Drosophila melanogaster: one gene and its partner. The protein of the gene in region 2 interacts with the protein of the main gene of each other region in a pairwise test. Each region holds a gene or a part of one and is shown on either strand. Other genes may lie near its edges.

The links.
Region 1: the proteins of CG10301 (region 2) and CG1314 interact in a two-hybrid assay, tested with the Drosophila melanogaster proteins (one large-scale study listed by BioGRID).

Annotation. Positions count from the first base shown.
Region 1 is NC_004354.4:20,867,280-20,871,298, forward strand, and holds CG1314 (uncharacterized protein), read right to left. Parts: upstream 2,119-4,019; 5' UTR 2,061-2,118; coding exon 924-2,060; 3' UTR 710-923; downstream 1-709.
Region 2 is NT_033777.3:23,708,123-23,711,893, reverse strand, and holds CG10301 (uncharacterized protein), read right to left. Parts: upstream 1,737-3,771; coding exon 1,444-1,736; intron 1,378-1,443; coding exon 1,005-1,377; intron 890-1,004; coding exon 635-889; 3' UTR 556-634; downstream 1-555. Other genes in the region: CG10300 (uncharacterized protein), read right to left, coding at 35-336.

The DNA of each region.
Region 1 (4,019 bases), on a different chromosome or scaffold from region 2:
AAGTATTTCGCGGACAAAGCAGCCAAAACCACCTCCGCCCACCCCCGGCGGTGCTGTTGCAACAATAACGGTACATTACAAGTGCCAGGCAAAAGCATCGAGTTAGTTAGTTTGCCGCCACAAGTCCCCTTGGCCCCTCTCCACAACACCCCTGTTCACAATTTCTGCGGTCTTGTTAGTCTGGGCTGGCAAGTTGGTTAAAAAGTTGTTGATGCAGTTACTCCTCCTTCTGCCCGCCACGCCCCCTTTTGCGACGACATTTGTGCTAATGGCTGCCAACGACCTGGACAGCAAAACCGAACAGCCCTTGTCCCCCTCTTTTACGACGCCCCTGCCCCACATGGCAAACATGTTGCATACGCTGCGGCGTAAGCGAAAAATTTCCAGCGAACAGCTTTTTGGCCAAGCAAACACACAGCGGGTTAAGTGGGCGAGTTTGCCACAACATTTGTGTTCAAGAATAATTAAATTAAGCTGTCAGTCTGACCGAGAAAATTGCAAATACACTCAACATTATGATGCACTTTCAAATGTACACATACCATACATACAAGTTTGAACTCAAAGGGCCGATTTAATGGCAGTTCGAAACTATTATTTATTTTATTTTATTATCGACTAAACAATTAATTATTTAAACCTATTGAACGATGTAAATGGCACTTTCAAACTAATTTGTCATCGCATTAATTAATAACAATTTAATTTTAGTTCTAATAAGGAATTTGATCTTTACTGATACAATTTTGATGAAAATTTACAAGATTGCATATGTTGAATTGCTTATGAGATATGGTATTTCGTCCAAGTACAAAGTGATCCAAAATAATTTAAAAAAACTTGAAACAATTTTTAGGTACAGTATCAAAGTAATGCAAATAATTTTGAAAAATCATTCCAAAAATCATTGTGATAGACTGCGTTTAGTTCGCTTGAGGCCCTTCTGAGTTCCCAATAAATACCTCCTCCTTGGAGGTATTCTCCTTTTCCGCAAGTTCTATTTCGATGTCGTCTTCGCGAAAGGTGCCCTCATTAGGATTAGGCGATATGGGCCCCACTCTACCCTCATCCTCTAGAATGGTGAACTGTAGGTCGACGTCCAGCGTGTAGTCTTCAGTGTGCTCCTTCATTTCGCGATGTGTGAATCGCATAAAATGCGGACTGTCCGAAAGCAGATCGCAATTCTTCAGGGTCTCCGAGCCTTGACAGGTCTGAATCATCTGCCGACGTGGCACTCCCGGAGTGTTTTCTCCGATATTCACGGATACCAACAAAGGCGTCTGGGCCTGGGGACAGCACAGCCACAGAATATAGATATGGGTCACTCGCGGTCCGACGGGCATCGAGTCCCAGGAAGTCTTCCACAGCATTATCAGGACGGGCAATTGGCACTCCCAGTCCTTGTAGATATTGGGTAGATTTAAGTTCCTGGTCGCGTTGTTGCCACTCTCGTAGATCATCAGACCCACACAGTTGCTTTTGCCCCTGTCCTCGGGCAAGGATTTTCCACACAGCTTCAGAACCTTTGGCTCCTTGGGCTTCATTTCCATTGTAATAATGTGCTCGTGGTGCATCAGGCAGTGACTTAGGAGCTGCTCAGGATTGAACATCAAGTCGCAATTGCTCAGCGGACAAGCCATGTCCAGCTTCTGCAATCTCCAGTATTTGCGCACCTCGACTGCAGTATTTCTCAGCCGCTCATAGCGAATTTCCGGAGAACTGATTCTGCCATGTGGGGAAGCGGAAATGGCTTCTGCGCCGCCGCGCATGGGCACTCTTCCGCCCGCCGGAAGAGACAGCTTGCAGTCCATATACAAGCGCCTACGGTGATCGGGCATCAAGCTGGTGAAGCAGATCTCCACCTCCTCATCGGTATCATTACCATCGTTCTCGTTCTCCAGACGACATGCACTCGCCATCACAGCTTCCGGCGTGGTGTCCAGGGAGTACTCCGACTGAGCGAGATCCAGGACGGCAGATATACCAATGCCAGACTCGGAGCACCTACAGAATGCACCGGATGTCGATGGTTGCTCGCCCTCGCAATTGTTGTTCTCCATTTAGGAATTTTTAAGAAAATGTCGGTTTTTTTTTTTTGTGATTATAATTCTGTGTGAGTCGAACTGTTGACGTCTCGACGTAAAATTATACTGATGACAGAAGGTTAGAACAAATGAAATCAACTTTTGATTACTTATTTCACAAACTACTTGTTTATTTTTTTTTTCTAACGGTTTCAAGTTAATATTATGTGATTCTTTTAATGAGTTCCATGACGGAGTCACGAGCGTGGAATTATCGTCTTTAGAAGAGATTCCTAGACTGCAACTGAGACAATGCTATCAAAACTCTGGAGAACATTTTGTTGCATTTGTAATTTCCGGTTTCGCACACACATGCATACATAGTTGAAAAAGAAAATGCGAAAGAAAAATGTGTCAACATACAAGACAAAGCAAAACACAAACAAAACTCAAGTTGCCTCTGTAGAACAACGAAATGCAACTAGGGGTAAAAAGGGGGGAGGGGGAATCGCTTCCAAGGGAGAGGGCAACAGTCGGACTAGGACTGCAAACTCCCTGTGGCCACCCCCCTCCCACGCCACTACTTTCGTCCACCTCCCACTGGCAACTCCTTTAGTTTCAAATCGACAATGGAATGAACCGCCGCAGAGGAAGTGCGGTCTATTGCAGTAAAATCGGAGTTCAATCAACATATGTCAAGACCTTCAATAAATTTAAAAGATTATGACTGATTAAATCAAAACAAATTTTAAACCAATTTCATAAACCAATTTCATAATAACACTGATTATTTGGATAGCTTTTGTTAATTTATTCACTGTAATATGTATTAGATATTTAAAAACTTCTGTATAGCAAGTGTATATTTAAATTGATTCCGATTGTAATTTATTTAAGCTAATGAGGACAAGATGCATGAAGAGATAAAAACATAAATGAAGAACGTTATTTCAATTAATAAGTATTTTTTGGGACCTTTTATACATTTATGTCGCGCAACTTGGTAACAATAATAAAAACGAGCTGAGTCACGTGCTCGCGCCGTTTGTTTATGGCTTTCTCCCTTTTACTTCGCTTTTACTTCATTAGTTTCGAGGGGAAAACTCCACCTCTCTTTCCTTAGCCATGCTCCCTGGGTTTTCCGCTCTTCCCACTTGGTATCGCTTTTCCTTTTCGAGCTTTTGAGCTGCAATTGTCAGCTTACAGTGCAGCCAACCGCAAATGGCAAACAGGCCAAAGCCGCTGTATCTCTAGATTCGATGATATCTTTAAGACGGATTTTCATTGCTTACCGTTTGCTTTAATTGAGTTTTTACAATTTGATATCTACCTAAAAGGAAAGTAGCCTTCTTCATCATAAGCAACCCTCACCTGAAACAAATAAGAAAACATTTTTGTCAGCGAATCAGCATTCAAGAAGTGCTTGTATTAAGAACCAACAAGGAAAGGATTTTAAAAGGTCAATTGAAGAAAATTCAACTTTGAGCTCGCACATTTGCACGCACACAGACCCCCGGGATGCAGTGGGGTTAAGCGAAGGGTTCATAAGGCACATATCCACACATAAAGATTTCCATTTCCCTGCTGCTGTCTTGACAACAACCCAGACAACAATGTGTAAAACAATTGTGCTCGCAGTTAATTTGTGTGGTACGACAATCTAGTATCACCTCAGCACTCGAAGAAAAAACGCGCAGAACATGGGTTCTCTTATCGAAAAGGATGGAATATCGACAAGGAACCATATATTGAGCAAAGTAAACTGCGCTAATATTGTCATTATCTCCAAAGTTTATTAAGCATTTAATGATTTTAATTGCGAATATCGCCTGAAATTTTGTTCGCTTGCTGAATGCTCAGTGTATGCTGTATGATAATATTACTGCGAGTGACACTCGCACACATGGCGTATACGCAATGTGCCAAAGTTTATACGAAATTAATGTTAATTACGACGCGAGTATAGCTATCCATCTCAGTCGCACGGTCGTGGCA
Region 2 (3,771 bases):
AAAGGGTATATAGCAAATGGAACATTCAACCCACCCGCGTTGCAACTGGGTGAGCAGGGCCTCGTCCACCTGTCGGGATCCCAGAACCTCCGGGAACACGCTGCGCAGGGAGTAGTAGTTGTCGAATCGCCGTTTGGTCTCCTCCTGGCTGAAACGGCAACGCCGCAGAAAGGCCAGGATAAGCTGCTCATCCGTGGGCGCCTTAAGGTGCGGCGACTTGGTGATCCATGTCTTAATGGTGGCAATAATCTCCGCTCGCTGCGCCTGCTCCTCGTTGCACTCACTTTTGGCCAGAGCCGCCAACTTTGGGTCGAGAGTTCTCAGGGTGTTCGCCATTCCGGCGCTCGGTTCATTAGTAACTGAATGCCAAAACCACTGACGCAGCGCCGTGGTAGTGATGGTATTGGCTTTTGCGGCGGCATCGCTTATCTAATCGGGGCAACACCTTGTAAACTAGCTGGAACGGCGAGCCGAAACCCGTCGGCAGTCAGTTAGATATAGATACACGAGTGCATAGATAGTTGATAAGTGGGTGTTATCTTTAATTGATCGACTACAGCAGAGTTTGGAATGTTTATATGGATAAACGCTATTGTGGGAGGGAGGGTCTAGGTTTCCTGCTTCCGTGCTGGTATCAATCCCAATTGAGACGACGGAAGGAGCCATTGGCTCCAAATTCCGCCTCATATGTGGCTATTTCGCCGTGCCGCAGCTCCTCAATGGTCCCGTAGTTGCAGTCCTGCTCGAAATAACCACGATAGCTATTCAACAGGTCCTCCATGTAGGCCACACATTCACCCAAATGTCCATTGGTACCGCCATACTCCTCCGGCAGCGATTCCTTGCCAATGTGCTCGATTAGCTCTTCGCTGTTCTTCAGCACGCGTATCTGAAATAAGATAAACATATCTAGCCTTAATTGGTACTGAATCTCTAATGGTTACTTTATAAAAACAATTTTATCACGAAGGTGATAACTTGCTGATTAAGTTATCAATACCCACCGGATAGTTGACTTGCATGCTAAGCACGTTGTACAGAAACATGACGGTACCCTGAATATCCTTGGGCATATTTATGATATACATCTCCTTCACTTTAAGGGGGCTGCAATTGTAGAGCCAGTTCCACCATTTGCGAAATAGAACCCTATCAAAGCGTCGCATCTTATCCGAGTTGACGCCCTCGAGGTCAATTATTTCGCAGATTCCCGCCAAGCTGGCATAGTCATTCTCCAGCGCAATCACCTCCATGGCCATCGACGAAAAATGATAGATCTCCCGCAGCATGTACAAATTGGGATCGAAATGACCGAAACGGGCTATAAACATGGCACTACGGCTATCACCCTTTGGCATATCCGGATAGAGACAAACTCTAAGAGCAAAACCAGCGTCTTAAGATAAATGACTAACTTCAAATGTTGGAATAACATTAGCTCACCCCATCCGATTGATGTCCAGAAGTCTTTGAGTCACACAGCGGTTATTCATGATCTCCGGAAATAGATTGTAGTGGGTGAAGTAGCGATCGATCCGGCGCTTGGTCTCCTCCAGGCTGTAACGGCAGCGTCTGAGGAAGGCGATCAGGAAGTCCACATCTGTGCGGGCGCGCAGATGCGGCTGCTGGCGAATCCACACGCGCAGGATGATAATATCCTGCTGAATCCTGTCGGGCGTCTCGTTCACCTCCTGCTCGGCCAACTTGGCCAATGTCGGCGAGAGCGGACGTCGCATTTTGGTAACGGCTATGCGGTGTTTGATGGCATTTGGGCCATCTAATTTGCCTATCCGTGCTCCCCCATCTGGTGGTGGGTGGCCCCCTAATCTAATCTTATCGCCGAGGCGAATCGGATTGGGAAAATACGACCGCTGCATGATGGTCTATGCTTATCTATACGCATTTGTAACTTGCACTTTTTTCCAGCTCGGAAAATGGGATTCGGATATGTAAGTATGTTTGGGAGAGAGTGACATGTACTATATATGGGAAAAATAGCGCACATCCGGCGCCTGGAGATCTCTTAAGTGCCCATCTCGTGTGCATTTGGGAAATGGTTGCAGATGCACTGAGAATAAATTAGTGTGGAATGTTATCCAGAAGAAATGAGTATGAACTTATATACTTACATTCAAATACATATTTTATTTTACAAATGTGCGTGCCATCTATTGTGGCATCAATATTTTCACTTCAGCCTTCAATTTGTCCCCATTTTTGTTAGTGTACCAGAGTACCGTCTTTTGAAATGCGATCTGCGTTTAATGCCCGAAATAAATCTAACGCTAAATGGTATCCAGTTCGTCGGTCGTCCGTGCTGTGAGCATTGAGTATTCAATTTGAGTGCCTGCCTGTCAGAGGGCATTACACACCGACATCCCGGGTAGGTGGCGATGTGCCGTTGGAGTTGACATGGAACACCTACAGCCGGGCAAATTGCTATGACATGGCGCTGTCAGCTGCTGACAAGCCGGAGAGCTGGAGATCTGTACAACTGTGGAATTGGCGATCTGGGCTCCCAGGAAGCGGATCATCTACCCACTCCGTCAATAACTCATAACACATTATGGCCATGGGACTGGGACTAGGGAGGATTTGGAGTGAGTACATCCAGTGGAGGCTGTGCTTTGATCTTGCTGCTGACAGGGCAGCGCGTGTAAATTCCCTTTGCAGCCAGCTCATTGCTCATGACGCAAACATATCGTTGCCATATTAATAATGAGCCTCATTAACAGCTCGCTGCACTGCATCATCGCACTCAACACATTGCCCAATGTTGCCACTGCTTTCCTATGTTGAGAAAGGGTGAGGGTGTGGCGGCATGTAATTGACACACTCATTGCTGATAAGTGTATTTTGTTGTAAGCACTTCAGATATGCAACCAAACCCCCGGAATGCATATGCTGCACTTGAGGCAAGTGATGGATGCCCCAAGGAATCGCTGAAAATCTTGACACAAAAGGGTATGGGATTAATAACCCAGTGATTGTCTTACTGACGGCTAAATCAGTCTGCAGAAGGACCTTTGTACTTAAGAACACTGCTTAATTACATACATAAAAAAAAATAATTACTAAATTTTTAATATATATAATAATATAATAAATGTAAAATTCTTCATAGTTTCGTGTTTATTTTAAGCCATTTTGTGTGGTTAAGATAATTGTGCATTCACTCACATACTATTTGCTCACAATTAATTTTAATTATTGAATATTTAAAAATATAATATAAATGCAAAGTTAATAATGCTTTTGAAAATTTTATCAAATCAAAAAAGAAAGTGCATTGCTGCCACAACCAGCAGTCATATGGATTTATAAGCGTTTCATGTTTTAATTTATAGACTTACATAAAACGCCCCATTTTGTGCTCTAAGTGCGAGAGAGAGAGAGCGGAAAATGCGGGGAAAATGCGAGGAAAATGGGAAAATGCATTTGCTTGGCGCTCAATTGACAATCATATTTATAGAGCATATTGAACAAATAGACCAGACACCGCAACGCTAGCCCAAAGATAATATTCGGTTGGCCGTATAAGTTCCCGCTCGACTGCCAGTTGTCACTCAACTTGATCCGAGATATGTTCCTATATACTACATAGAACACGCATGACGTTTGTACTTTGCCGTTCCCCAGCTCCCCCCCTAACACCAAAAATAAAAAAAAAAAACAACATGAAAAGTAAACGGCAAATGAAATTTCATTGTAAACAGACGCGTTCCGGCAAATTGAGCAGCTTAAACAAATTTCCGTTGTCTCCGCATATCA